Linked DNA regions of Alligator mississippiensis. The protein of the gene in region 1 interacts with the protein of each later gene in a biochemical or structural test. Links are inferred from orthologs where the notes say so. Each region holds a gene or a part of one and is shown on either strand. Other genes may lie near its edges. The genes, in order: histone H2A, mediator of DNA damage checkpoint protein 1-like, PPM1D and MAPK8.

What was found.
Region 2: the proteins of histone H2A (region 1) and mediator of DNA damage checkpoint protein 1-like form a complex in vitro, tested with the Homo sapiens proteins (5 studies listed by BioGRID and IntAct, with this or other methods). The link is inferred for Alligator mississippiensis from reciprocal best matches to the Homo sapiens genes H2AX and MDC1.
Region 3: of the proteins of histone H2A (region 1) and PPM1D, one has a biochemical effect on the other in vitro, tested with the Homo sapiens proteins (3 studies listed by BioGRID and IntAct). The link is inferred for Alligator mississippiensis from reciprocal best matches to the Homo sapiens genes H2AX and PPM1D.
Region 4: the proteins of histone H2A (region 1) and MAPK8 form a complex in vitro, tested with the Homo sapiens proteins (2 studies listed by BioGRID, with this or other methods). The link is inferred for Alligator mississippiensis from reciprocal best matches to the Homo sapiens genes H2AX and MAPK8.

The regions. Positions count from the first base shown.
Region 1 is NC_081839.1:35,289,128-35,295,557, reverse strand, and holds histone H2A, read left to right. Parts: upstream 1-4,405; 5' UTR 4,406-4,464; coding exon 4,465-4,887; 3' UTR 4,888-5,840; downstream 5,841-6,430. Other genes in the region: DPAGT1 (UDP-N-acetylglucosamine--dolichyl-phosphate N-acetylglucosaminephosphotransferase), read left to right, coding at 1-30, 1,089-1,176, 1,534-1,689, 2,457-2,522. UniProt on the Homo sapiens protein: Variant histone H2A which replaces conventional H2A in a subset of nucleosomes. Nucleosomes wrap and compact DNA into chromatin, limiting DNA accessibility to the cellular machineries which require DNA as a template.
Region 2 is NC_081834.1:57,359,266-57,367,276, forward strand, and holds the start of mediator of DNA damage checkpoint protein 1-like, read right to left. Parts: upstream 3,101-8,011; 5' UTR 3,017-3,100; coding exon 2,899-3,016; intron 1,834-2,898; coding exon 1,435-1,833; intron 1-1,434. UniProt on the Homo sapiens protein: Histone reader protein required for checkpoint-mediated cell cycle arrest in response to DNA damage within both the S phase and G2/M phases of the cell cycle.
Region 3 is NC_081837.1:4,651,870-4,660,006, forward strand, and holds the start of PPM1D (protein phosphatase 1D), read right to left. Parts: upstream 3,136-8,137; 5' UTR 3,029-3,135; coding exon 2,632-3,028; intron 1-2,631. UniProt on the Homo sapiens protein: Involved in the negative regulation of p53 expression. Required for the relief of p53-dependent checkpoint mediated cell cycle arrest.
Region 4 is NC_081829.1:21,154,830-21,162,349, reverse strand, and holds the start of MAPK8 (mitogen-activated protein kinase 8), read right to left. Parts: upstream 3,135-7,520; 5' UTR 3,078-3,134; intron 1-3,077. UniProt on the Homo sapiens protein: Serine/threonine-protein kinase involved in various processes such as cell proliferation, differentiation, migration, transformation and programmed cell death.

The DNA.
Region 1 (6,430 bases):
CATTCCTTGCCCCCGACATCGGCTGCCCAGGTAAGAAGCATGTAAGTGACTGAGAGTAAGAAGTAATGTGACAGTACCTGTGAGGCAGTTTGGTTCTGGCTTGGTGCTAGGGCTGACGCAGGTGGAATAGTCTCGGTGGAATCTTTGGAGGGTATTAATGGACATAATGTAGTCTGTGGTTGGGGGAGGGAGTGAAAATGGAGATGTAGCCCTTATTCACCAACTAGGATTGAGAAAGATACCAGAGCTGTGGAGAATTTTATTTGGTAATTACTACCTTTCCTTGTGGTCGGGAACAGCATAGCCATAAATTGAATAAATCTTGTGATTTTATGGTTGCTGTTTTCTGCAACGTTCACACTTTAATTTTGAAAAAATGAAAACACCTTTTTGTATGGCAAAAAGTTGAATGTCAAGGAACAAGTTGCTGCCCTGTCAAAGCAGTCTGGCAAACAACTCTCCAGCTGAATGCCTAGCATAAAAGCCCAAATTGCTCAATGTATAGCTACCTGATTCTCAGAGGGTACAAACTAGTGCCCTGATGAACGCTAGCAGAACTGTACTCCAATTTTATACCATCAAAAAGCTTAGGTTACCTATCAAGTTGAATTAAATACAGCTCTCGCCTAATACGGTTGAGTCATGGCATGTGGGTTTCTTTCTAGCCTCATTAAGAAATAATTTTACAGTCCTGCAAAGCTGGAGCTGTAACTCGAGTTGCTAACTAGTTCACATTTTTATTTTCCCAACCACATGGGTGAGGTTGAACTGTGGCTGCTTAGCTGAGAGGCTGTTCTAATGCAGTCTTCTGGCAGTTTTTGCAGCATAGATAGTCCCTACCTACACCATGCATGTTCTACCTTGCTTTTTGATCCATACAAGCTTCTGTAAAGTAGTAACAAAAAGGTTTCTCCCATTTCTGCCCCATGTGATGGGCTCGGGCTGCTGCACTGTCAGGACTGTCACATTCATAGAATTACTCCCACTTTCGGCACCACCTCCTTTTAGACCACTCCTATCTCTGCTTTATGCAGGGATTCAGTTGTCTCTTTTGGTATGATTGAAGTGCATTTTGCTGTTCCTTTCAGGTTAAATCCTGCTACAGGGAAACTGGAAATGAGCTACTTCAAATTTAAAACCAAGAGTCTCTCAACCCTGGGAGCATGCATTCTGAAGGTCAGTCAGCCGCTGTGATCTGAAGAAGGATAATACCTTTGTTTAGCCTGAGTCATTTCCTCCGAACAACATAGAACTTTAGTAAAAAAAACCAAACCAAAACAGGCCTCTTGTAGTCTGACCCCAATGCTTGATGCTCACATTTATTAGAATCCCTCCAAAATGAAGCTTAGCTGCATAAGGCCTGATTTAAACCTGTCCCTAGATCTGTTCCCTTGAATCAAACCCCAGGACTGGAACAGTAGAAGAGATCACTGACTAGGATGTATGGAAGAAATTTTTATCACATCCCTACCAGACCCTAACTAGCAAATATCTATTTCATCCAGTTAAGTGGTGGTTAAATTTCTTTCCCAGGTATCAGAGAGCTTGCGCATTGTAGATGTAAGACGGGGAGTGGATGAAGATGGAGAATACACAGAATGCAACAACATGACTATCATTAACTTTGTTATAAAGCTCATTGGACCAACCCCAGAGCAAACACTCACCATCCTGCTGCTACTCATCCAGGTCAGGCAAATGGTCTTTTGGATAGAAAAGCCTGCTCCCTAATACAGGGCTGTCCAACTGATGTCCCACAGGTTGCATGCAGGCTTCTCTTCCCCCTGCTGTCCCCCATCCTCTCCCAACCCCCCAAATCACTCCTGCTGCTATGGTCAGGATCTCTGAGCTCTCCCTCTTTCCCCTCCAGCTTGTGTCTTGCCTTCACTCCCGGGGGCTGGGCAGAGAGAGCTGTGTAGAATGGCCTGGGCTGCCTGTGCGGCTGGAGGGAGAGGAGCTGAGCTGCCCATGCTGCATGCAGCCCATAGGGATCTGTGGTGCCCCCAGGGTCCAGAAGTTGGACTGCCCTATTCTAATAGATAGCACATTCAAAGCAGAATATTCTGGTTTAAGGGACATTTGAATTCCCCCTAGCTTTGTCTTATGTCTCATGTCTCCCTTTCCATTCCTCTACTTCCTGGGTTGCTCCCCACCTCTGCATGAAATGGTAAAGACCTGACAAGCATCTCTGTTGCCTATTCCAACTCTGTATGTATGCACACAGGCTATCCTCTCCCCTCTGTGACTCCATTACAAAGATCCTCTCTAAAGAGCACTGCAAGGAACTCTCATCACCCATCATGCCCCCCTCCACACACATACAAATAGCACCATTTCTAATTAAGTTGTCTCGCTTAGGCAGACCACGTGCTTAAGTCCCAAATGCTTTCCAGAGGGCTAGGCACTGTCCAAGTGGCAGTCAACTCACCATTGCAATTTTTTTTTCTTCTTTCTAGGTTCTGGGAAGCACAATTGCATTTCTGATCAGATACCAGCTAGTGCGCTTATTCTACGATGTCTGACAGATGTCAGGAGAAAGGGAAGTGCCAGCTCCTCTTAATCAGTCCCTTATTTTCTCTGGTTCTGATCCAGATGGCTGAAATGGTCCTGTGTTGGCCCTGGACATCTCAGGACTGCCTTCCAGATGCTAGGAAAGACTCTGGGACACAAATCTAATTTTTTTTGTTTGTTTGTTTCCTCCTTGGTTGGAAACAGCAGGAATTTGACAGATTCTGCTGTTAAAGTTATATAAGCATCATTACTTCCTAGACCTCCTAATGAGTGGGACTAACCTGCATGTGCAAAGACATAAGTATGATCTGAGTCTTCTGGCCAAGATGATGGGGTAGAGGTAGAGGAGGATCAGCCATAGTTCCTTTCATCTTGTGAAATACATTGTTTTGCCTGAAATATGCAAAGGATAAACCTGCAACAATGCCTGCAATCTCTTCTGAACTCTACATACCGGACAGTCCTCTCCAGTTTCATCTTTCTGCCACAGATACGGAATAATCCACTTTTCAGCCTATCTACAACTCAGAAACAAGATATTCAGGTCGTGTAATCTGACTACAGAATAGCTTCCCATTCCTCTCTGCCACAGGGATAAAATGTTGAAACACAATTAAACGATATCAATTATACATTGCTATGACACCCTCTTATAGAGAATGGTCATTTCTATTGCAGCATCTGTTCTCCCACTTTTCATTGTTGCTGACATTTTTTCCTGCTGAAGGGTCATGCAGTTTCCCTAACCTACATTGCTCTATGACCCATGGCACCTCTAGCACCAAAATACCCACACTTTCACATGTCTCATCAATTATAAAAACAAAAAACACCTTCCGCCTATTTGTGCATTAGCAGCCATCAGACCCCCTGGTCCTAATGGTTTTCCCTTCGTTCAAATAATTCATTTTCACATTGCACTTTTTTCAGCACGACGGTGCTTTACAGTTATTATTTATACAGGGAAAATAATGTCATTCAAATGACAAAGCATTAGAACAACTGAAGTGAAATAAAACTGTACGGGAACCGACTCACTCAATCGGACTTTATTTAGGACACCAGTGTTAACATCCCTGTTGTACTGTCCTTATGACTTGAACTGAATTATAAGGAGTGATTATAGCCTCAGGCTACCACGGTCCGTTTAAAATGAAAATAAATCTCGGGGGACTTTTCCCCCAGCTTTCACGGCCTCCTTTCCCGTGTTGTGCATAAGCCGTGCGTCTCCCGGGGGCTGGGCAGTGTCACCACAGCGTGCGCCCGCTGAGCCCTGGGCCAGCCGAGGCTCCTGGATACTCGAGCTAATGCGGGCTATAGGACACGGGCTATCAACCGCTCCTGAGCCGGGCAGGGTCCGCTGCCCTGCCCAAAGCACGAGCACAGCGTTGGCGAGAAACGGTTCCCCGAGGGGAGGGGAGGGCAGAACTACCCGGGGTGCTCGGGGGCCCTCCTGCTGGAGAAGCGCAGCTCCAGCAAGGAGCCCTGCCTGCTCGAGCGGGCGGGAGCGCCAGGCACCGGGCCCCGAAGGAGCAGGGGCGGCGCTTCGTGCACCCAAACCAGGCCCCAACGCCGCGGGCTCCGAGCCGGCTCGCGGGGGGAGCCGCCCCGCGCGGGGCCGCGCCAGACACTCACCCTGAGGCGGCCGCGGGGCGGGGAGAGGAGGGGCTTGCCGCGCCGGCCGCTAAAGCGGAAATGGCCGTGCGCTCTTCGCGGTTTGAATTTGGCGCCCTGCTTTGCCATTGGCTCACAGAAGCAGCCAATGAGAGCCCGGCCGGATCTCAACGGTGCCCAATAAGCCAGCGCGCCCATTCTGCGCGGCCAATCGCAGCGCGGGCGGCCGCGTCGGCCAATGGGGCGAGAGCGGCGGCGGAGCGGAGTCTACAAGGGAGCGCGCAGCGCAGCTGGACCCAGTCTGCGCCGGAGCCTGGCTCGGTGACGCCCGCAGGCGCCATGTCCGGCCGCGGCAAGAGCGGCGGCAAGGCCCGCGCCAAAGCCAAGTCGCGCTCGTCGCGCGCGGGGCTGCAATTCCCCGTGGGCCGCGTGCACCGCCTGCTGCGGCGCGGGCACTACGCGGAGCGCGTGGGCGCCGGCGCGCCCGTCTACCTGGCGGCCGTGCTGGAGTACCTGACGGCAGAAATCCTGGAGCTGGCGGGCAACGCGGCGCGCGACAACAAGAAGACGCGCATCATCCCGCGGCACCTGCAGCTGGCCGTGCGCAACGACGAGGAGCTCAACAAGCTGCTGGGCGGCGTCACCATCGCGCAGGGCGGCGTGCTGCCCAACATCCAGGCCGTGCTGCTGCCCAAGAAGGCGGGCGGCGGCCCGGCCAAGGCCGGCAAGAAGAGCGGCGCCCAGCAGTCGCAGGAGTACTAGCGCTCCCGCTCCTCACCCCCCACAACGGCCCTTTTCAGGGCCACCCACCCGGCCGGAGAAAGAGCTGCGGATCCGCGGGGGGACCTGCCCCGTTACGCGCGGTTCGGCGGGGCCGCGACGCGTGGTAACGTCGCCGGAGCTTGGCGCAAAAGCTTTGCTCAAAGCAGGTTTCGGGGCCGCGCTGCAGCCGCTTGCGACCGCCCCAGGCGGCGGGAGGGCGGAAAGGAATCGCTCTGCCCGCGGCCACAGGCCAGCACTGAGCGCCCGGACCACGGGGTGCTGTCGGCTCGGGGTCGGGGCCGCGACTGCCGTGAAAAACGCCCACAACTTGCTTTCCTTTGTCTGTTCATGTTGCCAAGAAGAAAGCTCACACCCCCCAGGAGCCTTTGTCTTGAGTGGCCAGCTGGAAAACATCTCTAAGCCTAGCTCAATTTCTGCAGTGAGCAACATTTGTCCTCTATGACAAAGATGCGGTACCCAGGAGCCTCACTGTTCCCGCGTCCCCCAGCCGGAGCAAATTCTAGGTATGGCTACAGGCTCCATTGGCAGAACAGCCCCCATTAGACTGACTGCAGCCAAACTCCAGGCTTCACCTCTGCACGTGGCAGATGTCAGATATTCTCTTCTCTAACAGCGTACAGTGAAGAAGCAGCCTGCTAAAAAAACAAAGCCACTCATATAGCAGTTTTCAGTGTAATAAGGATCATCTTACAGGATTTCCTGGGCTTATCTGTTTCTATTGATTGGATTTAGGCAAGGAAGTCAAACTTGTTCTGCTCTAAAGAGAATCCAGGATAAGCCTCACATTCAGCTTCTCCCTTAATTTGTATAGCACTTATCACCATTCCAAGCTTCTTCTTATATTCTTCTGTTACCTGAAAACAGTACAGAGTGTGTTCTTTGTATATAGAGGCTTGCCCTACTGGTTGATTAAACTCCCATTTTGTATATGCTTTAGTTGTCCTTGTAGTTTGTTTTCTGATTTGCACATAGCTCAAGCAGTTTCCAGACAGAAAGCATTCATCATGTGAAGGGTTTATTTGGACCTACCACTTGGCTAGAAACAGTGTAAATGTCAACCCTCCTTCTGAGGAAAGGCATCTTAAATGAACATAAATTAGAACTTTTTTAGGCTATTCAGTGGTTGTTACATTCAGTGGATATTGCACAGATGTAAACAATTAACTTTCACTTGCAGAGCAGGATTCCTGTACAATGCAATGTAAATGTTTCTAGAAGGCACTGGTGCGTTCTGGAGCAGATGCAGACTCACCAGTGGAAAGTACAGTCCCATCTGTGGTCTTTATAGAAGGAACTGGCAACTAAATCTGGAAAGATTAGTAAAGTTCAACTTGTGTGTATTCTCAAGTCTAAACTTTCTACTGACTTTTAATTTAGAAGCTAACTTCCTGATGTTGAACTTCAACATAAACGTGCCCCGTTCCTGACTGACTGATTCTATCTGGCAACAGGTTACCAAATGGTTTTCAAATACAATTAAATTGGTGCCTGTTGCAGTTAAGTCAATAATCAAAATCTCTCA
Region 2 (8,011 bases), on another chromosome or scaffold:
CATCATCCGCTCCCTGCCCCCACCGTTATAAGGCCAAAAAAACCTGCAGTCCCCTCCCTGGCTCCAACTAGGGCCCCCCCAAACCAGCCTTAACCTCAGCCCTGGTTCCCAAGTTATTATAGGGCCTAGCTGTGACGGAGCACAGGGTGTGCCTGTCACCCACAGGGGTTTGAGCAAACAGCCCGCAGGTGGGAGTAGGCCCAAGCAGGTGGTCACATGTCAGACAGAAGGCTGCCTGATTGGTGGAGAGCCTGGGTATAAGGCAAGGCCCCAGAGCAATACAAGCAATTGCTGCAGGGGCTGAAGGAGCAATGTCACCCAGCCAGCTTCTGTTCCTGGAACAGCTTGGAGGTACAGAGCAGGGACTAGGGATGGAGGAGGTTCCTAGAGCTTAAAACTATGCCCTGCTGAGGAGGATGGTGCAGTGGGGCAACTTCTAAGAATTGCCACACTTGTGCCTCCCCAGTGAAGCGCGAGTATGAGGTGCCAGAAAGCCTCAGCCCCTGCTGCCGTGTGGGTGACCCTGTGGAGGGAAAAGGCTAGGGGAGCACACCCCAACAGAAATGTGCAGGGCCAAGGCCCACTGTGTGGAGCCTGAGGTGGGGTCCAGGCCATGAGAAGGGGGCCTGGATGCAGCCTAGGTACACTAAGTGAGGCCTGAGGCTCACTAAGGAGCCGGGTGTTGAGGCTCCGGGGGCCCAGGGAGTGAGGGCTGCAAGGTGGAGGCCCAGGGATTTCTAGACCGGGTGACGCCAGGTGGTACAGCTCAGCAAGGGAGTCAGGAGCATTTGTGAATGTCAGCTACGAGGCATGGGATACAAGGGAAGGCTCAAAGCTGTGTATGCGCCCTTGGCAATGAAATGGGTAGCCTCCCACCTGGGAAAAACAAAGACATCAAAAGTGCGGCAGGGGAGGCAGGTGGGTGGACTGCCCAGGACAAGTGAGCGGGCCAATGTTTACACGCCCTGGACTGGCCCACTTATTACACTGCCACAACGCCAGCCCTAGCCCCTTTGTTATGATAGGACCTTCAAGAAGTACCAGCCTCAGCCCCGCCCACAGCCATCGTCTTATTGTAGGGCCTACAACCATCTCCCTTCCTCCCCCCCCACACACACACCAGGGAGCTCCCTGTTGTTACAGGCCCTACCAAAGCCTCCAAAGCCCCCTTGTTGTTATAGGTCCTACCAGAATGCACCCAGCTCCTTGTATAGGCCCTACCAACCCACCCACCCAGCCCTTGTTGTTATGGACTCCACCACCACCCCTGCCAGCCCTCCTCCTACAGGCCCTACTAAAATCCCCCCCCATCCCTCATGTTATAATGGACTCTATCAAACCTCCCCACAGCTCCCTTGTTGTTTATAGGGCCTACAGTAACCCCCACCACCATCCACTTTGTTACTGTAGACCCTAGAAAAACCTGCCACTCACCTCCACGCCATCTTTTTTTCTTCACCTCTGACTCCTGAGCCAACTGGGCCCCAGCACCCATCCTACGCCTGCATGGGGTTGGTGTCTCCTCCACGGTCAGACAGTGCAGGGGGGAGGCTGCAGATTCCCCAGGGGGCAGCAGGAAGTACTGGCAGCCCACGTCGCCAAACAGCAGGGTGTCGCCATGGGCCAGAGCGTAGCGGACGTGGGGCTGGAGCACGGCACGGCCGCGCCGCGTGCGATTGAGACTGCCACGGTCCCAGAGCAGGTGTGGGTATCCAGGCCCAGGCCTTGGTGCTTCAATCACTGCATGCAGCTTGGACACGGAGGGCACCGGCAGGTGCACGGGGCAGCTGGGGAGACGTCCGACCACGTTCTCACCAGGGTAGATCCAGATGTCTGCGAGTGAAGGGAAAGCCCAGGTGTCTGGGAAGGGTCCAGACTCCCACCCCTGCCAGTGCATACACACATGCACGTGTATGCACACTCAACCCAAGCATCTGGGATGCTCACTTGCACAGATGGACACTCCCGCAGCCCTCACAACACAGACTCTTTTCCAGAGAACCTAAGTGTCCGGGTTGCCAAACCCCTTGGTCTAGCTGACCAGGCCCCAACTCTCCTCCCAGTGCTGGGAGAGGACCCAGGCTCCCAACCCCCTTCTACTGCCCAACCACACATACGTGTGCATGCGTGTGCACCACTCCTCTCCCATAAAACGCAGGCATCTCAGCTCCCAGCCCCTCCCTGGTCTAATCCACCTGCCCCCGCTCCTCTCCCAGAGGATCCAGCCCCCCTCCTCTCCCCTCCCAGGGAACCCAGCCGTTCGGCAGGCTCTCCCCTGGGGACATGAGCCCCACATCTGGCCCCAGCTGGAATGGGCTTGAACCCCAGGAAATAATGCCTTTGTCATGAATCACCCTGGACACCAGCTTCCTCAGGCAGTGGGGTTACCCCCAGGTGCCGGGTTCCTCGTATAGCGGGGTCCCCACCCCTGGCACCAGTCCAAAACCGTGTCCAGTTGTGGCCCCCCACTCCAGCAAGGATGTGGACAAGCTGGAGAGAGTCCAGCGGAGGCCGATGAAAACGGCTGGGAGGCTGGGGCGCACAGCCTGCGAGGAGAGGCGGAGGGAACTGGGCTCATTGAGTCTAGAGGAGAAAAGACCAAGGGGGGGGATTTGACAGCAGCCCTCAACTCCCTGCAGGGGGGCTGCAAGGAGGGTGGAGCCGGCTGGTGCTCAGTGGGGGCAGACGACAGGACAAGGAGCGAGGGGCTCCAGGTGCAGCAAGGGGTCCTGGGGACGAGGCGGTGGAGTCTCCATCCCTGGAGATGTTTAAGACCCGGCTGAGACGGTCTAGTTGGGGCTGGTCCTGCTGGGAGCAGGGGCTGGGCTGGACTGGACTGGACTGGGCGTCCCTTCCCGCCCCCGCACGCCTGCGCCCAACGGACATCGGGGCTCCTACCTCTCTCCGGGCCGTGGCGGCCCCCCAGCACCCGCAGCCTCCCCACGGGGCGCCCGGGGTCCGCGGGGGCCTCGTCCTCCTGCTCCTCCTCCCACTGCAGCAGCTGCGTCTGCTCCATGGCCCGGGCCGTGCCGTGCCCTGAGCCCCCGCCACCTCGCCCCGCCCCTGACCTTTGACCCAATCCCTAGTTCGGGGGCGTGGCCCTCGATCCCCCCCCGTTCCCGCCCCCTGGTGGGAGCCGGGACTCGCCGCCCACCCCTGCCAGGGCCCCGCGCCCGGGCGCTGGAGCCACGGAGCCCGGACGTGGCTGCCTAGAGAGGCTCCATGGGACCATAGAGAGGCGGGCTGCGATGAGCTAGAGTGCCTAGCTCTCTGCGGTCCTCCACAACATGGAGGCCAGTGTGCAGCATAGAGTGCGGAGATAGCGGGCTAGAATGTCCACACGGGGTCCTCCCCAACATGGCGCCCTAGCACTCCTACCACACCAGTGACCATAAAGATACCTCATGCAGCACGCCCAGGGACATTAAGCACAAGGGTGGGCGGGTAGAGTGACTGCCTTCGCCTGCCACAAAATGGCCGCCGCCTGGCCATAGAGAGGGAAAGCTAGAATATACACATTTGGTCCTCCAGAGTGTCTTTTTCCTCATTATCCCCACATTCATTAATGAGAATGACCTCACTTTGCACCATTTTTAGCCACTGAGGAAGCCTGGGCCTCTGAGCAGCACCTGGGCCGAGCCCGACCCCACTGGAGCTGCCCCAGAGGCCCTGTTACTGTGAAGGGGCATCTGGCATTGCCAGGCAACAGTCTGGTTACTAGGGCTGCCCTGGGTACCATGAAGGGGCATCTCAGGGACATCTGGTGTTGCCAAGCAACAGGCTGCTAACTAGGGCTGCCCTGTGTATCCTGTGTTGTGTCCCAGTGTTGCTAGGAGACACGAGGGTCATTCCAGTGTTGCTAGGCAGCCTACTGGCCAGGGGCTGCCCCCAACCATCCAGGCCTGGGGCCACGGCTGCTTCCAGCTCACCTACCAGCCCCCCATGCTCACCAGGGGACACCCCCCCACCCCCCCAGAGAACCCAGGTGTCAATCGCAGGGCGGGCAGGGCCAAGAGCCGGGGGGTTGGGAGCCCGGACACCTGGGCCCTTTGTGGGCTGGGGGAGTTGTGGGGCAGGCGGAGCTGAGAGCATGGACTCGGGGTCCTCAGCAGGGGAAGAGGGAGCTAAGGGGGTGCGGGGTAACAGCCCAGAGGGATGCCTGGGATCTCTGGGCGGGGGTGGGGGCTGGGGAACGAGAGCAGGGGGAAGCTGGGAGCCCGGTAGGGTGGCCAACATAGAGGACAGTCCGGGTGTCCTCTATTGATACACAACCGGACGCCTTCTTATCCTATATTTTTGTCTTGAAGAAAACCAGAATGTCCTCTATGATGGCCCCGAGAGCTGGGACACTTGGGTGTCTCCCTCCCCCCCTCCCTCAAGGGTGGCTCTGGCCCTACCTCTGCCTCACCCGGGGCTTCTCTCCCTTTCCAGATGAGCCGGAGGGAGCCCTTCTGCCCACGTGTCTGGGACGCAGGCATCCAGTACCCAGGTATTCGGGACAGACGGAAGGAAACGCAGAAGCCCGCGGTTCAGGGTACCCAGGTAGGCGCCTACTCAGAACCCAGGTGTCCGGGAGAACAGCCCCCCCTCCCCCCGCACAGATCCTGTGTCCAACACTGCCCCCTTCCAGGTGCCCAGGACCCAGATGTCCAGGCCACCAGCCCCCCACTGCTCCCTTCCCCCTGAGAAACCAGGTGTCTGGGATTTCACCGCCCCCTGCTCCCACCTACCCCTCACAGAGAACCCAAGCATCTGGACCCTCCCAGAGAGCCCAGGTGTCCAGGGCCCGTGGGTGCACACTCCCTCCCTGGAACCTGTGTCTGGGGCCCACCCAAGTGTCTGCCATGCACTCCCAAATGGCTTTTGATACCGTCCCCCTCCCTCCAAGGTATCCAGGGCCTGCACACAGAGGACCCAAGTATCCAGTACACACAGACAGACAGATTCAGGGAGCCCAGATGTCCAATGTGGGCAAGTAACCATGCAGACTTCTCAAATGCAAGACCCATACAGAGAACCCATGTTTCCAGGATTCCCACCCCCAGTGGACTGAGGCCACAACAGAACCTACTTTAAAAAAATTTCCTGTTTTTATGCTTTCACAAGATGCCATCTTTTCAATATGAGAAAAGCTGTTAGGGGAAAAAAATAAAACAGAGCAGAGCAGACAGAAGGAGAAAGAAAGACAGGATGGGCATGGAGGCTGTCAGCTTTGTGCTAGTGCCAGGGGTGGGGGAACCCACAGGGTGTGGTCACGGCACCATGGCCACTGCTTCCCTGGCTTCCCCAATCTCTTCCTCCAGGGCCAAGCTGGTCTGTTGAGTTCATCAGGGCTGAGAAGTTGCCTGGAACAGGGCTGTCTGGAGCCTGGAAGCTGGGTTGTGGGATGGCAGGGCCTGGCCCAACTCTTCCACGGTGCCACTAGACACTGGTGGCATTTCCTAGGCTTCCCCCTGTAACCAGATCACAGCCTTTTCCTTTCCCCCCCTGGACCTTCCATTGGGGGTGAACAAGGGAAGAAGACCCCAGCCCCACTCTACCCCCTCTCCTCAAAGTTGTTGGCCAGAGAAGAAGTCTTTGGAGACCCTCAATACCCCATGGCTCTTCTCTTTCTCTCCAAGGAAACAGAGCTGACTGGGTTGGCCTAGGAGCACCCGTCTTTTTTTGCTTGGTTTGCTCTCAGTAGCCTGAAGATGGTCTTTGTCTTCTCCCCTGGGTACATTTTTCACTGTAGGGCAAGGTTTGGGGGACTAAAAGCCAACTCAAAACGCAAGGGGAGGCACCTGCATGGTAGAGCAAGGTGCTGGACCCCACAAAATAAATAGATACAGACTCCCCAGGGAAGCTACTACCCCAGCAGAAGCCACTCTGGTTACATGGGCACCAAGGAATTGGGCTCTCCAAGGAGAAAGAGGGAAGATAGGCCCTCTGACAGCTTCATCATCATCTCCATTTTGGGTGGGGAAAGAGCAGTTCATTCCCTAGGTCAGGCAACAAGGAATTCTTCCAAGACTTTGAGTGCTTTCCAAGGTACCCTTGCCAACCAGCTGGGCAGACCTGAAGGAAACCTCTCCAGAAGAAGCCAACTGAGAAGTAACTCATCAGTACCATCCACCTTAACATGGAGGTGGGTCTTCAAAGGTGGGGAGACTTTCTCTAGTCCTGCCAGGACTGTTTCAACCCTTCCACTGTGGTTCATTTGAGTCTCGTCAGGGCAGTGCCTGTGAAGGAAGAAAATGGAGTCCACACATCCCCATGCCCTTCTCCCAGCCTACTTTTCTCACACCCAGAAGACCTTTTGTTTCTCCAGCTTGGGGCCCTTCCTTGAAAAGCCTCCCCACCCCCTCTAGCTAGAACCAATATTTGGCCTTGAAGAAGAGTTCCCCAATGGAGAACCAACATTGGGACATTTAGGAACTTCCTCAGATAAAACTGTACTCAACTCTCCATTTCTCCAAACGAAAGAAGAGAAGATCACCACTCTAGGCACCAGGCACACAACTCTACTTTTTCTAGTTTTTAACGTACTCAACCTTTTTTCATCTTGGTGCCTGCCCTGGGCCCAAGGCAGTCCGGGGCTGGTGTGGGGCTAGGGGTGGCTGTTTATCAGGGGCCACCGGTGCTGGGCAATGACCCCGGGCATGGGGGAAGGGGCAGCTGCACGGGCGCAATGGGCCCCAAGCCCAGGCCCAGCTCTGCTCTGTCCCAATGCCTGCCTGGTCCCAGCCCCAGCCCCAGCCACCCCATCCACATGCTTTCCCCTCCCCCCACAGACTTTCCCGTGGGCACATGCAGCTCCCCCCACAAAATTCTTTTTCTCCCTTTGTGTGTACATGCGTGTCTGTGTCCAGCCAATCTCACTGACAGTGGGTTGTCCCACCAACCGATCACTGTGGCCCCTTCCATAACTGGCTGTGGCCACTTCTGGGAGCACCACCACAGCACTCCCCACCCCAGCTGGCGCTTACAGCGGGGGCACCAACGCTCCTGTCTGCCCCCCCTGCCCATCGCCTAAGTGGCAAGCATGGATGGTCAGGGGGTGCACTTTTGCTCTCAGGGAGTGCATGTGCACCCCCATGCACTCCCTAGGAGTCACCACTATGTGCATGCATGCACGTGCATACCTGTGTGTGCGTGCGTCTATTCATGGCAGGAGATAGCGTGTTTGTTTCTGTGTGTCAATGTGCAGAGAGTAAGTGACAGTAGTATGCGCCTCTGTGTGTGTGTGTGTGTGTGTGTGTGTGCGCGCGCGCGTGTGCATGTTTCGCCATAGTGGAACAGGGGAGCAGGGAGAAGAGGGGAGCATGTACCCCCCCACCCCCAGCCCTCCCTGCCAGCACCAGGAGGGGAAGGGACGATGCTTCGCCCTCACCTGACCTCCACCCTGTCATTCTTGGTGAGCAATTGGCTAGTATACCAATAACAGCCGAGAGGCATTGGGCGTGGTAAAAGGACAATTCGGAGCCACGCAATTAACCCATAAGGCTTTAAGTGCCCTGCCAGGCACAGTTGATTGCAGGGGCCTAGCCAAGGGCCTGAGAATATAAAGGCCCAGCCACAGGTTTGAGGCCAGTACGACCGGGGGCGTGCAATGGTCCATGGCCAGCCTCCCTTTATATTTATTTATAATCCGTAAAGGTGTGGCAGGAAAGATAGGGGGCATGCCCTAGAAGTCAAACAGGGCATGGTCACAGAGCCACCAGGGGGCATCACAGCCACCCCTGGTTCCCTGACCTGCTACACTATAATAGGGCTGGGGGGGACGGGGGTAGAGTCTGTAATAACAAGGAGCTGGGCTGGAGGTTTGGTGGGGCCTATATAAGCAGCTGGGTGAATTCTGATAGGACCTATAACAACAAGGGGGCTTAGGCAGCTTTGGAAGGGCCTGTAACCAGGGGGCTGTGTGCTGGCAGGGGGAGGTTAGGGCCTATCAGAACAAGGAGGTTCAGGGGCAGGGCTGAGTAGGCTCTACAAAAAGGAGGGGTGTGGGGGTGGGGCTGGGGCTTCTTGT
Region 3 (8,137 bases), on another chromosome or scaffold:
GCATCCTCATGCCCCTGGCCAGGATCAAACAGCTCCACGGGCCATAGGTTGCTGACCCCTGATCTAAAGTATAATAAGAAAAACTGAAAAATAAAAATGGCTTTGAATGTGATATTTATTCTGAAGGCATCTCTACTTGAGAAGCATATATAGTAATCCACACCAAGGGACTGTGTGTGCTGTAACTCGGCTCTACTGGAAATGGCTCTTAGCCCTCTTGTTGAATTTGAAACCTCACTAGTAGTCTTCTTTTAAGTATCGTTCTAGCCTTATTAGCTGGGAGGACAGTCTCCAAGAAAATGAACTTATACATCATCATGTGTTGAAAACATTTAGCCAACCTGAAACAGCAGCAAAGGTTCCTCATTGTTTTTTATTCATACCGACTGAGCTAAGACTAAAAAAATAATGGCAATTGTGTAACTAATGCTCGTCTGATCACCATAGCAGAAACATCCAAGCGCTGCCATCATTGGACCAAAGCTACTGAAAATCCTGGCAGCCTCCAAGAAATTATACGACAGCTAGTTACTACCCTCTTCCACGCAGAAATCCTTACTTAGCTTGTCCACAAGGATAAAGAAAAACCACATCAGTATGTTCCCATCCCAAATCGTAACTGCCTCTTGTCCATCTTCAGATTGCAAAATGTATAAGCAGAGAGATATAGTTAGCCATGCTGGTCTGAAATCAGACAGAAAGCAGGGTAGATCTGCCACTTACAGACTAGATGTATAAAGAGCTTTTGTGAGCTAGAGCTCACTTCATCAGATGGTGTGAAAGGGCAAACATAAAACATACACCCTTCTTCTACCTTCCATCATGTTGTCAACACACAATTAACAACAGCAGTCTGGGAGGATGCAACATTCAGACTAACCCAACTAATGAGCCCCTCTCTTCAGTATCCAAGTAACAGAAATGACATGACAACATCAGTTTTTAATATTTTATCCAGTTAAAAAAAGGGATTGCACCTGCTGCCAAATCGTGCATGGCTGCACGCAATACAGAAATCAGGGAGGAAACTTTACGGCAGAACTCAGACAGAGTCATCAAGCAGTCAGAGCTCTAGTTTTGCAGTCCTCTAGCAACAGTTTGAGACTTACATAACAAAAGTTGTGTTGCTCCCTACACACCAATACAAATAGTATTTCCAATCAACAGCATGTTTGTTGGCTTTTTATTTTTGCAGTGACAACCAGACATGGTTACCATAGACTAGAAAACCAAACTCATAATCTTTCTTCCCCAAACCCTCTCCCTCCACTTCCTCTAGGTTCATTATGACACTATCACATCACAAAGGCCCCAGGTCTGGGGTGAAGTCACGTCACTCCCCACCATCACATCTGTGAACAAGCTCTCCCACTTTCTCCAGGACACTTCTTAAAAACAAAGCAAAAAACACCCTGCCATCGCCTCCTCTCTAACCCAAGAGCCAGTTTGTCTCCCCTCTAATCCCTGCTCCTACTCTACCAATCTCTCCCTCTAGGCTCTTCCAGGTATTTACTTGACCCCTAAACAGCCTTGATTTGGACTAAGTGTCTTCGCGAAAGATTTCAACTGTTGCTTCAGTCACTGCCTCTCCAAATAACTCTGCTTTCCTTGAATCGTTAACTTTTTATCACTGCCTGCCAGATCCGGCCTTCAGGATTCAAGCCTGCACCTTTGACGCGGTCTCATGGTGGACACTGCTCTGCCTGCTAGTCTTCGTGCCCCAAGCTGTTGTATGGAACCAAATTAAATAAAAAAAGCCACAACCAACATATTTAAGGTATTTTTAAAAGCTCATTTTTTGTAGCCTTACTTCCAGGAAGCGAACAGAGAGGTAGCTAGCAGCGTTGGTCTGAATTTAGGCCTAACACGTTAGTCAATAAGGTGCTCTGATGATGTCGAAGATACGAACAGGAGGGAGGATAACATGCATCCTGGTCCTGTCAAACTCTCCCTTTCAGGATCCTTACTTGGGCCACAATGAATTTAACCAGCCAGCCTCTACAGTCCTCAGGGACTGCACTGTACGTTTCCAGGGGTGCGTGGCCTGTTTCCAGCTGGTCAAAATCATCATCAATCACCATCGTCCAGCATCAGCCTATGTTTTGAATTCTTCCGTCGGCACCGGACGGGCCGAACCGCAGACAGCGGCCAGTGCAGACCCGGATCAGAAAGCAGACCGAGTTATCTGCATCCGGGCAAAGGCGGGGGAGATTTGCACCTTATAAGCTGACAAAGGGCTCTGCTTACAAAACCTCACCCCAAACATCTCTTGTTTCATTATCATGTAGAAATCGACCCAGCATAAAAGCTCCCCCTTCTTTCAATGACGTTTCAGGGGGGGAAGAAACCTGTGCTGCTTCACATAGAGCCCCCCCAACTTGTGTTGTTGACCAGATGAATCCCAGCTCCCCCATGAGACCCCTGCCCTGAATCCGCCCCGAGCCAACACTGGTTGCTCTGATCAAAGGCGTTGTGTCTGGACGCTTGCAGGGGGCAGCCCACCCCGCAGCAGCCAGGAAGGGAGGGATGGAGGGAGGCTGTTTGGGAAGGGAAGGGGCCCCGGAGCAGCGGGGGAGCTGGGCCCGCGGGAGAGGGCTTGGGGAAGGGGAAGGGGAGGCAGACGCGACTCACGCAGCTTCTTCCACATGGCCCGGTGGCAGGCGACGAAGCCCTTGCGCAGGGCCGCGCACACCTCGGCCGGCTCGGCGGAGCAGAAGCCCTTCTGCCGGGTGATGAAGCCCCACAGGTTCTCGCGGGCGAACTGGGCCGCCTCCCGCCCGCCGTGCCCGTCGCACACGGCGAAGAAGGCCGCGGAGCGCCGGGGCCTGGCCTCGCCCGCCGCCGCCGCCGCCTCCTCCTCGGGCTCCGGCTCCGGCTCCACCACGATCTGGGTCACGTCCTCCATGTACTTCCTGCCGCCCTGCTCCGAGAACACGCTCACCGCCAGCGCGAACGGCGCCTCCATGGGGCGCGGGGAAGCCGGGCCGCCGCCGCCGCCGCCGTCCTCCTCCCGCCGGCCGCTCACCATTGTTCGTGCGGGAGGCGCCGCTCGGGCATGTCCGACCGACAGACAGACAGACCCACCAACCGATCGACCGCCCCCCGCCGCGCCGAGCCCAGCCGAGCCCAGCCCAGCCGCTCCGTCACAACCCGCCGGAACCCGCCCGCCTGCCCCGCCCCGCCCCGCCCCGCCTCGCGCCCCGCCCCGCCCCGCAGGCACCCCTTTGTCAACTCGGCTCGCCACCCTTTCGTGCGGCGCTGCGCCCCCGACAACAGCGCCCGGGGCCGGCACCGCTCCCCACTCCCGGCCAGCCCCTCAGCGCCGCTGCCGCTGCCGCGGGGGGCGCCCACCGCTGGTCCACGCCTCCCACCCTCCACACGCTGTCGCGGACGCCTGCGGGAGCGCCCCGCTTGGCTCACCCCCACTGCCCACACCGCAGACACCTGCGGGACCGCCCCGCTCGGCCACCGCCGCCTGCCGGACCTCCCCCCCCCCGGCTCACCACCCACACGGCCACCACCCGCGGGGGCTCCCCACTCGGCTCAGCACCGACACTGCCACCGCCCATGGGGGCTCCCCACTCAGCCCACTGCCAACACTAATGCCTGCCGCAGCTCCCCACTCAGCTCAGCACCAACACCACCGCCTGCCAGAGCTCCCCACTCAGCCACCGCCGACACCGCCACCACCTGCAGGAGCTCCCCACTCGGCCACCGCCGACACCGCCACCACCTGCAGGAGCTCCCCACTCGGCCACCGCCGACACCGCCACCACCTGCAGGAGCTCCCCACTCGGCCACCGCCGACACCGCCACCACCTGCTGGAGCTCCCCACTCAGCCACCGCCGACACCGCCACCACCTGCAGGAGCTCCCCACTCGGCCACCGCCGACACTGCCACCACCTGCAGGAGCTCCCCACTCGGCCACCGCCGACACTGCCACCACCTGCAGGAGCTCCCCACTCGGCCACCGCCGACACCGCCACCACCTGCAGGAGCTCCCCACTCGGCCACCGCCGACACCGCCACCACCTGCAGGAGCTCCCCACTCGGCCACCGCCGACACTGCCACCACCTGCAGGAGCTCCCCACTCGGCCACCGCCGACACTGCCACCACCTGCAGGAGCTCCCCACTTGGCCACCGCCGACACTGCCACCACCTGCAGGAGCTCCCCACTCGGCCACCGCCGACACTGCCACCACCTGCAGGAGCTCCCCACTTGGCCCACCACTGACACCACCACCTGCGGGAGCTCCCCACTCAGCCACCGCCGACACCGCCACCACCTGCAGGAGCTCCCCACTCAGCCACCGCCGACACTGCCACCACCTGCAGGAGCTCCCCACTCAGCCACTGCCGACACTGCCACCACCTGCAGGAGCTCCCCACTTGGCCCACCACTGACACCACCACCTGCGGGAGCTCCCCACTCAGCCCACCACTGACACTACCGCTGCCTGCGGGAACTCCCCACTCAACCCACCACCGACACCGCCGCCTGTGGGAGCTCCCCGCTCGGCTCACCACCAACACTGCCACCACCCACAGGGGCTCCCCGCTCAGCTCACCACCGACACTGCCACCGCCTGCAGGAGCTCCCCACTCAGCCCACTGCTGACATTACCGCCTGCGGGAGATCCCCACTCGTTGCCGCCACTGCTACCACCACCCCGAGCTTGCCATGCCCCCCCAGCCTCCGGAGGCACACAGCGTTCAAGCTTGTGACCCACTTTGGAGTCACAACCCACGGGTTGAATAACACTGGTCTGGAACAGTGGTTCTCAACCTTGTTTGTACCAAGACGCATTTGAAAACATCAATGGCCAGGTCCGACCCAGTGCCCCTCAGTCCCAACCCTCTGCCCCCATAGAGGATGTAAGAATTGTAAATGGTTTGCTGGAAGGATGGCTTGGGAGAGGTCTTGGAGTGTTTGTCTGGGGACCTGCACTCCTCAGTCTTTTCATTAACGACATGCATGAGTGGGGTTTGGAGCGTACTTGTTACATCTGCAGATGACACAAAGCAGGGAGGAGCTGCAAGCACTGTACAGAACAGGGTTAGATTACAAAGTGATTCTGACAAGTTGGAGAACTTATTTTAAATGAAGAGGGTGAAATGCACTAAGGATAAGTGCAAAGTATTAGGCTTCGGTAGAATGATCCACTGGACAAATACAAAAAAGGGAAGGACTGACTAAGCAGCAGAAGAATGATAGTGTGAATCACAAACTGAGTCAGCTACTGCATCTTATATTGCTGGGAGGGAAAGCACAGAGTATCGGGTTGTTCAAGCTGAAGTAAGAGCTTAGAGCGCAGCAGACTAATTCTACTACACGTTAGTGTGGCAGGCAAAATCTGTCCGAATGCGCAGTAGAATTAGTCTACTGCACATTAGCATCACCAAAAAAAGTGTGCGCCACAGCTAATACGCAGTGGCGCTGATTACAGGCATTAAGGTAGTACCTGTAATTACAGGTACTAAACTTAACGTGCCGTAATTATGGTGCATTAATGAATGTGTAGATGCACCACGTGTGTCTTTTCACTTTATTCAACACTGGTAAGAGTCAGCTGGAGTATTGAGTCTTGATACGGGCACCATACTTAAAAAAAAACATGGACTGATTGGAAAGGAGAGAGAAAAATCCTCAGACCTAGGGGGGAAAAACAGAAACTGGGATCCAAAAATTTGGGTTTCTTTAGTTTAAAGACTTAGGAGAGATGTAACGGCAATTTTCAAATATATAAAAGGTCCTGTAAAAAGGAAGGTTATAAACTATTCTCTATACCCACAAGGTAATGGGCTAAAATTTCAACAGGAAAATCTTTCTAACCATAAAGAAAGACAAGCAATGAAATAAATTGCCAAGGGCATTTGTGAAAATGTCCTCAATTAAGGTTTTAAAGACGAGGCTAGACTAATATCTGTCAAGAATGGCATTCATATATTTGATCCTGCCTTGGAATAGGAGAAGGGAGTCGATGACTTTGCAAGGTCCCTTCTGTAAATCTAGAAGATTAAAATATTATTTTGCCATAGAAGATTCAAATATTATTTTGCCACAACTGTTTTAGTGCCACAACTGTTCATGTCCTTTTCAGATGGGAAGCAACATTATTCAAATAGAATTCTAACCACCACTTTTACGTGAGTGACCCATCATTTACCCTTTCCTACATGCATCCTAAACACCTCCCCCTTCAATCTCTGATGCCTTTACCTTTCCTCTTATTTGAAGCCTGACTAATACCCCTTTTCACATCAAGAATTCATTCAAGGGCCTTTGCACTGTAGGTTCCCAAGGATTGCTAGAGCTGTTGGAGCGGGGTTTACACCAATGGTTATAAAATACAGAATAAGATATGTTCCCTGCTGGAAAGAGTTCTTCAACTGTGCTAGATACTTGTATATTTATACCTTGCTATCACTTTGTAGTCCTGTAGCACCTTGATGTGCCAGGCATGCTGTCAATATTGTTGAATTAAAAGAGCTTGCCTGCAAGTAATATTTCCGATATCAGTAAAATGGAGATGACTAATTCCTTGGCAGATGCACCGTACGTAGTTCATAATTCTTGTTTTTAATTCTTTAATAGGATGAAAGCCGCTTGCTATGAAGATAGGCAACGTGTCAATAATATTTGAAACTTCTATAGAATCTGAGCATCTCAAAACACATTACAAAATGTTAACAAAGTAATCTACACGGAATTGGTTAGATGAATTTTCTCCGTATTTTCCAGCTGGGTATATAGACAATGAGCCATTATATTTATGTACAAAAGATCACATGTTAGTGTGATCGGTCCAAGACAGCACCCAGAAGTCCTTCTGCTTTAACTTGCAGAGAATACGTCTTCATGACCACCTCGTATAAAATTGCTTAAAAATCATATCATATTCAAAACAAAACAAGGCAGGCAAAGACTAACCTGGAAAAATTTTCTACTATCTGGAAAACTCAATACATCACTATTTCCTTTTTTTTTTTTTTTTTTTTGGTTAACAGATAAATGCAACCAAACAATTGCAAAGTTGATATTCCTTTATAAGGATAACTAAGTCCATCACTACTGACACTGTGGTGGGGAAATAGATCTTATTATCAGGGTGCAGCCAGAAAACAGTACTCCTGACTTGGAGTGAGTGACAACAAACTGACAGGCTAATAATACCATCAGGGTCTGTTTCACCAGAGGAACAATTAAAGTCTCAAAACACCTGTGAAAAATCAGTAATGAAATACTGCAGTTTCATATGTGGAGTAGGAACAGAGGATGTTATTAAGTAAAAATGATTATTAAGTAGAGATGGTGCTTTCCAAAACGTTTAACAGAAAGGGAGCAAGTCATGGGCAAAGGCACAAACAGAGCCCACCGCTGGTGCGCTTTATATATACTTTTATACTTGTGATAACAGAAATAGGGAAAAGTCAAAGGGTAAAACAATTCCCTGAGGATGAAAAGCCCAAAAGCTTGCAATTAAAGAACTTTTTTTGCAAAAACCTGTTGGTCTAATAAAAGATATCACCTCTACCGCGAGCCCTGATTGCTGAGGATGAAAAGGTGATTGACAAATTCCAAGATGCTTCTTTTTCTCCCTCCTTTTTGACATCAATGTCATTTTGTGCTTCCAATGGAATGCAATGTCTGACAATTCAGAAGGAAGTTACATGCAGCTCAAATGCTCTCTGCCCATTGCTATTAGCTTACAATCAGGGCATTGCACCATAGAAACTAGTATTTAACCAAATTAGAGTGGGTGTGGTTTTGTTGTGTAACTGGACACAGCTAGAACAAATACTTAAAAATATATGGGAGTGGAACTGTTGAAGATTATGCAGCAAACTAAAGAACATCCTTACTTGTCAGTTTACTCTTGCATTTACTCTAGAGATCTACAAAGCTCTGTCCAACTCGGCCAGAAACAGGAAACTACCAAAGACATAATAAGCCAGTATACAAAGGGTGTGGGGATATAAAGAGAGAAAAGGGTCCTGACAGAGATGTTGGTTGGATGAAGCCTTATTGCGTAGCCCTCACAATTCACATGAGGCGCCACCACACCCCCAAACCCCCCATGCTGGATCCACTGTCTGCAGCACATGCTTTGGGATCTGTATTGCACTTGCCCT
Region 4 (7,520 bases), on another chromosome or scaffold:
CAATGTGATGAAAGCGATCAACAAGGCTAACCACACTTTATCATGCATTAGCAGATGCATGATGAACAGGTCCAGGGAAGTGATGCTTCCCTTCTATGCGGCACTGGTCATGCACAGTTGGAGTACAGTACTGTGCCCAGTTTTGGGCGCGGCATTTTAAGAGGGATGCGGAGAATTTTGAGAGGGTTCAGAGGAGGGCCACTCGTATGGTTATAGGCCTGCAGGCAAGGACCTACGAGGAGAGACTGAGGGACTTAGATCTCTTCAGCCTTCGCAAGAGAAGGTTGAGAGGTGATTGTGTGGCTGCCTATAAATTCATCAGGGGAGGGCAGCAGGGAATAGGAGATGCTCTGTTTACTAGGGCACCCCCTGGAGTCACTAGGAACAATGGCCACAAATTGACAGAGAGCAGATTTGGGTTGGACATTAGAAAGATCTTCACAGTAAGGATTGTCAGAATCTGGAATGGGCTTCCAAGGGAGATGGTGCTCTCCCCTACCTTGGGGGTCTTCAAGAGGAGACTGGACAATCACCTAGCTGGGGTCATCTAAACCCAGCACTCTTTCCTGCCCAGGGCAGGGGGTCAGACTCAATGACCTACTGAGGTCCCTTCCGAACCTAAGATCCATGAATCTATAACTTGATTTTTTATTTGGATTGTTATGTGAGTGTATTTACCCTCCTGTTTACAAATCAATAAAACATGTGTGCGCTCTCTCACATACTTCCTAGGGATAATCACCTGAAAAACCATTAATTACAACTTTGAAACTGCCAAGCTTGCCTAATATGGTATTGGCATCCATTCATTGTTACTAATGAATTTTATGAAATCATGAATTTTTAGAAATGGAAAATGTCCCACAGAAAAATAAAGCACTGGAAAATTTTCCGCCACACATCTCTGTTTCAGAATGAAATATTTTTCCTAGAATATCTAACTCCTTTGCCAAGTGACATACTCCTATGCTCCATTCACAATCCAACCACCACCACAGACACATGCTCCATGCATGCCACTTCACCCTGCTCATTGTTTCCACGTTTAAATTAGGGTGGGCACCAACATAAAAAGTGGTACAATAAAAATAATGCAGGCAATAGGTTCATCAAATTGCTACTTTCTAGTAAAAGTGTTTGACATTATTTAAAGAAAACAAACACACATGGAATGCTGTGTGGTCCTACATCAGGGGCGGGCAATTATTCTGGGCGGAGGGCCGCTTACTGAGTTTTGGCGCCATCATGATAGGCAGCCAGGGGCAGATAAATATTAATTTTCTAAGTTTCTTAGGGGCCCTGCAGGTCAAATAGAAGGGCCTGGTGGGCTGCATCTGGCCCCCGGGCTGCATTTTGCCCACCCCGTCCTACATGCTAGAATAGTGGTTCTTATCCAGAGTGCTGCAAGACCCCCTCAGGGGTGCTGTGATGCAGTCTCTGCTGCCACAGCAGTTGGTAAAACTGCCTTGCATGCCAGGCTGTAATAGAAGCACTCTTCCTGCCTTAGGGCGCTCTGATAACTCTCTTCCCAGTCTACTTCTGCCCCCCATGCTCCTCCTGGAAAGAGACGCATAGGCCAGGTCCATCTCTCCACAGGTCTCTACTTCCAGGAGATGCTGTACCCAATCGGACTGGGAAGAACTGCAGCATGAACCACCTCTATTGTCTGCTTTAGTGTTAATGGAGAACCTGAAAGCAGGAGGAGCATCTGCATGTGCCACAGCCCTTCCCAGTCTGGCTACCCAGCAGCTGCAAAGGGCCCTTTTATTTGGCAGCAGCAGCACCCGGTTAGGAACTGAGGCAAGATGAACACAACAAAGGTTCGCAGCTGGACATGCTGCTATACTCAGTAGCTCTGGAGGGATGCCCTGACTAAAAAGGTCAAGGATTCCTGCCCTAGACCGACAGGAATTTGAAATGTGTCACCTATCTGAATCCCCTTGCAAATAAATCAAAATGGTTGCCTCAAGAAATTAAAATGAATCACTTTCAGCAACACTTTCAGTTCAGTAGCTATTACATACTTTGTAGCATACAGGTACGCAATTTATTTCATCTATATACTTATCCATGAAACAGCCAACAAATTCACTTCGATGGCAACCTTAAGCAGCAGTTTGACCTCCCTCCCTTCAGGCTACCTTTGGAGTCATTTAAAACATATTAGTGAAAGGAGGGTATACCAGCTGATGGATGCAAAACAAACCAAGGCAAAGGCCACTTTCCAAACACCTGCCTCACCATGTCATACTTACTTCACTGTGAAAGTGAAACTATCTTTTGCCCTATTGCTACTAGTAATCTGTATGCCTCTACAAAAAAGCAGGCTGTAGCAAAACACAGATCAGACACTTTTCCCAGGGCAATTAATCGTTTTCCTTTATAAAATAACCTACGGTTGGTTACCCCATGATCAGGCCAAGCTAGAAGATGTTTTTGGGGCAGGCTGGGAAACGTCTGTGCTAGTCTGGTCTGGATGTTCTCTAGGATATAACACTCAAAGTAACCCCGCCCGCGGCCCCCCCGTCAGAGAGAAACGGGGCAAGCGGCGTTCACATTTGAAGCTGGTCCCGGAACCCCCAAAGCAGAACCCCCCCCCGAACCGGTGAAATCAGAGGCCGGAGAGCGGGGAGATGCTCAGGGCAGCCGGCGGCAGGGAAACGCTGCAGCGCGTCACCGAGAGGAAGATGCAAAGCCCCCACACGGCGGCCAAGCTCCGCCGCAGCTCTCAGCGCGCCGGTATCGCGGGGGGGAGGGGGACACGACCGAGAGCTACGGCGCGGCCTGAACTACAGATGTCACCGGCTTCAGGCTGCTGCAGCCGCCGGCCTCGGCGCGCACCGCAGCGGGCACCACAACAAAGGGCCCCGCGCCCGCATCGCTCCCCCGCGCGGGGATGCGCTCGGGATCCGGCTCCGGCGGCCCCGCCCCCACCTCACGGGGGCCGGGGCCGGGGCCGGGGCCGGCTCCGGCCCCTCCCCCCACAGCAAAACATAAACAAAGCGGCCGAGCCGCCGCCCGGGGGTCCCCCCCACCCGCCGCGGCCCACGCCCACCCGCCCGCGCGCCCGCACTCACCTCTCCCACCGCCGCCGCCGACTAACGAGCCGCGCAGGCGCACACGCACGCCCCGCCCCCCTGCGCCGGGCACGCCCCGCCCCCGCGGCCCAGGCCCCGCCCCCCACGCCCCGCGACCGCAGCGCTCACGACGGCCCCGCCCGGCAGGGGCTGGACACGCCTCCGCGACCTGCTGCGGCTCCGGCTCCGGCCCCGGCCCCGGCCCCGGCAGTGGCCCCAGGCCGCCTTTTGTGCGGGGTTGTTCGGTGGGAGCGGCGCTCCCAGGACAGGGAGGCCTGCAACGAAGCAGAGAGAGGCGTGAAATGCGCATTTATAAATCCCTCCCTTCCCCCCGCTCTGGACTTTATGCATCGGGATGTGGCAGCCCGGGGCCTGCCTCAAGGCCTTGCGGGTCATCTGCAGGGACCAGAAGGGCTGTTTTCCCTCTGGAAAGCTGCTGCCCCCTGGAAGAAGGTTTCCCCGGCCTGGAAAGAGCCACACCTAGGGCTGCTCCTGCCCATCTGGGAAGCTCGAGCCCTGCTACAAGGGTTGCTGGCTGCTCAGGGCAGGGTGGCTGTCGGGGTACCTCAAGAACAGAGGACAGCTGCATTTTGTCCCCGCCACCATGAACAGTCATATGCCTCGCACGGCTGGGGGTGCACAGTGGTGACAGTGAGCGGGGAGCTCCCACGGGCAGCCACAACCATGTTGGTGGTGGGGGGGTGCCGAGAGGTGAAAGAATAGAGGACACAAAGGCATCCGGTTTCATATCGAGGACAGAGGACCAGAAAACTGGACCGCCCTCTACAAAACCAGACGAATGGCCACCCTAGCTCAGGGCCATCCCGGTTGCCACATCTGAGTGGGAATGAAGTTTTCCCCTTGGTCAGGCTGAGGAGACCTGTGCAGACTTTGCTCTTCTCTGTAGCATGGGGCTTTGCTCTCCTCTGTTCTCAAGGATTCTCTTCCTGGGATTTGTGTGTGTATGCATTCCCTCATTGCTTTGGCAGGGCAGTAGCAAAGTCCCATCTTCTCTGCTTTTACCAGCTGCGTGCTATGGTGCTCTTGGGACCATAGGCAACACACCGGGGGACACAGGCGGGCGATTGGCTGCGGGTGCCCCCCCGACTCAGGAGGCACCAGTCACCCATGCTTCAGGCTTTAGTCTTGTGCCTTGTAGTTGTGTGTGAGGGTTTAAAGCAAAGATTTGAGAGAATCCTTGGGTAAATGGTTGCTTGCAAATGCAACAGACTGGGCTTGAAAGGCCCCTTCCAGTCCTGTGTTCTTTCAGGGACCAGGGTTTTCTCTCATCACTAGTCAGGGTATAGCTCCTGTTCAGTATGCAGGGGTGGATCCAGGCAGAGGTGCACTGGTACACAGACAACCCCGCACTCCAAATTCCTATTCCACCCAAAGGTTAAAACCAACTGCCTGGCAGTGACAGCAGCATTTTGAGTCAGGAAGTGCTGAGGGACTCACTTGATTTTATGACTCATTATAACCTACCTGATCCCTGCTAAACTCTTCATGCCACAGATATTAATGCCCTTCTCTTCTTTTTAATGGCCTGGATGTTCCATCAATCATCCTCTGTTCTGCAATTCTGCTGTCAACTAGCTGCTCCTGGTAATGAGGCTCATATTTCACAGACCTGCAAATTGTTTTTAACTCATTCCAACAAAATTATATTTGTTTTTGCTTCCATCTTAACCTGAGTAAAACAGCCCTAGGCCCCTAGCATATTAGTAAAGCTTCTAGTTCCTTCTTAAATGGAGAAAAATGTGTGTTGTTTTATATGTAATAATGCACCTCACCATCTGCACCGCCCTTTTCAAAATTCTAGATCCATGTCAGTGTGTATGTCTACTACTCCAGAGCCTGACAAAAGATCAGTATGTTTATCTGCTGCTCTTTTCCCCCTTCCTTACTTTTGTGCTTGTAGGATGGCCAGTTGCAATGTGAATGAGGCATCTGGCGACACTGTATGACCTGCATCCTATGTTTAATTCCTGCCTGTGAAACATTTCAGACAGTTCTTTCTGGACTGAAGCCAGCGGTAGACAGTCCTTACTACAGGTGCTCTTTGGTTTTCCTGTCCAGTTCCTTTTGAAACAAGTATCCTTTTCTGAATTCAGCTTAGACTTTCAATCCACTCCCACTCTGCCTTTCTGTTGAGTTGCATTCAAAGAACAAAATAACATTTTCGGAGGCCTGCCCTAAATAGTATCTGCCAGTGCTTCAGTATTCACCCAAATAATTTTCCTCCGCTTCTAGCCTTCTTTAATTACTTTGACACCTCTGACCTTTGATGCTTTTATTATTTCAGTGCCTGTTATTTGGCATATTGTCACTTAACTGTGATGTCTGGAGTTTTTTTGGAACTAAAGATTTCTAGTTCTTTTGCATCCAATATGTTACCATTGTTAATCTTCAGTGCCTGCTTCCGTACAAAAGTATCAAGGTCTTTAGGTGTCAGTACTTGACTCAGCTAATTTCTTTCTTTGGTCTTCCAACATTCTCTATGCCATTTCATTGATTGCCTTTCTTGTAGGAACATCAGAGCTTAGGATATTGTTTAGCAGCTGCAAGTCATATCAACTGGAAAGAAAGAAGTCTGTGACAAAAACTTTGATTGACAACTTTCTTGGAGATGAGTAGTTACTTCTCTACAAGGCCAGATTTCCTTTTGTTAAATTCAGTAAAGTTATCTCATCATACAAGTTATTGCAGTATCACCAAATGTACCACACATTGGCTATTTGACCCTCTATGACAGGGTCATCAAATGTATCTGTCTGTGTGGGCTAGATTAGCGGAACAGGGCTGGTTCCTGGGCTGGATCAGGCCCACAGACCCCCATCCCCCCTCCCACATGTCTGATCCAGCACGTGTGGCACTCAGAGTGGCCTGCGATGGCAGCCCATGTGACTGCTGCCTGCAGTGCACCCTGCAACCAGCCCCAATGAGTGCTGTGAGTGGTGTAGCCAGGGACCCAGTCCCAGCAAGCACTGCATGTGGCTCAGGGCAAGTCCAGTACAGCATGTAGGTCAACAGGGCAGCACTGGGAGCTGGATTATGGAGCTCTGCAGGTCAGATTCAGCCCAGGGTCCACATATTTAACACCCCTGCTCTGTGCCATCCTAATGAAACTTGAAGTCACCAGTGCCTTTGTTCATGTGATCAGATTGAGATTCCACAGAATAGGCTGATGCCGTTTTTTTAGGACTTTGACTTCTGGTAGCATAATTCCAAACCCTCTGGCTCACCCCCTCAGGTCCACATTTTTCTCTGCTCAAGTGGTGTCTGGGTACCAATATGTGACAGCCTAGCTGGTAGTGATTTGGCCCAGGGGTTTTGAAAGGGTAAGAAATGATTGGAGAGCTTGGGAGTCCCTTTCCTCACCAATCAGGCCCCAGAGACTCCCCCTCCATGTCCCCTGACTGGCCCCTCGGGTCACCTGGGGGGGGATAAAAGGGGCAGTGCAGCTGACTTGGGAAGACTAGTGAGGGACCACAAGGAAGGAGTTTCAAAGAGCTGGCAAGAGCTGGGCCAGCGGGGTGGGAGCAGTTGCCCCAGAAGAACCTGAAGGAGTGGGAGCTGCAGGCAGCAGTTGGACCCTCAGCAGTGCGGCATGCAGCTGGCAAGAAAGGCTCCCTGCTGGGCTCCAGGATCCCCCTACAAGAGGCTGCAGCCAACAGGAGAGGTTCCCCAGCTCCAGCAAGAAGCTGAGCAGTGGCCCGAGAGGTTCCCAGCTCTGCTTCCAGCTCCTCCAGCCAGAGGCAGGGCAGCTTGACATGACACAGGGGCTCCTGAAAGGTCAAAACCCCTAGCAGCTTGGATTAGTTCTAGTACTGGTGACTGTGTGATATGGTTTCTGCCTATCATGTGGAAAATCTGAGTTCGTGTCTCAGCTGGAATGAGTGAAGTGAAAGTGAGATTTTTTGTCACAGTGGAGGGGGTCATTGTGTTTTCCCTCTTCCCCCCCTCCAGATACCTATGCCCTCTGTCTCTTGTTATTTGATGTTTTGTATTTTGTGCATTTTATATTTCACCAACCAGTATTGTTTGTTGTGCTGTTTGTGTTTTATACTTTGTTAAACCTGTCTTTTGTCAACTTGATGAATATGTCTATGAATGTAAATGCCTAACCTTTATTGAATCCCGCCCCCTTGGGGCATTGTAGTGCCCCCTGTACCCCCTGGTTTATACATGTTATGATCCCACTACTGTTTTTCCCATTAAAAAATATATGGTTAAGTACCCATTGGAGATCTGGCTCTGCTCTATAGGGGAAGGAGGGTCCCTATAACTCCCACAGCACTCGTGCACCTGCTCTGATCCCTTCAATTGGAGAGGGGGTACATCTTGGAGTACCGCCCAGGCTACAAATATATGACTGATGATCTTCTCTGGTAACTATTTGATTCTCTTTAAGATGGTTACAAACCCTGAAAGGTCTTTTCA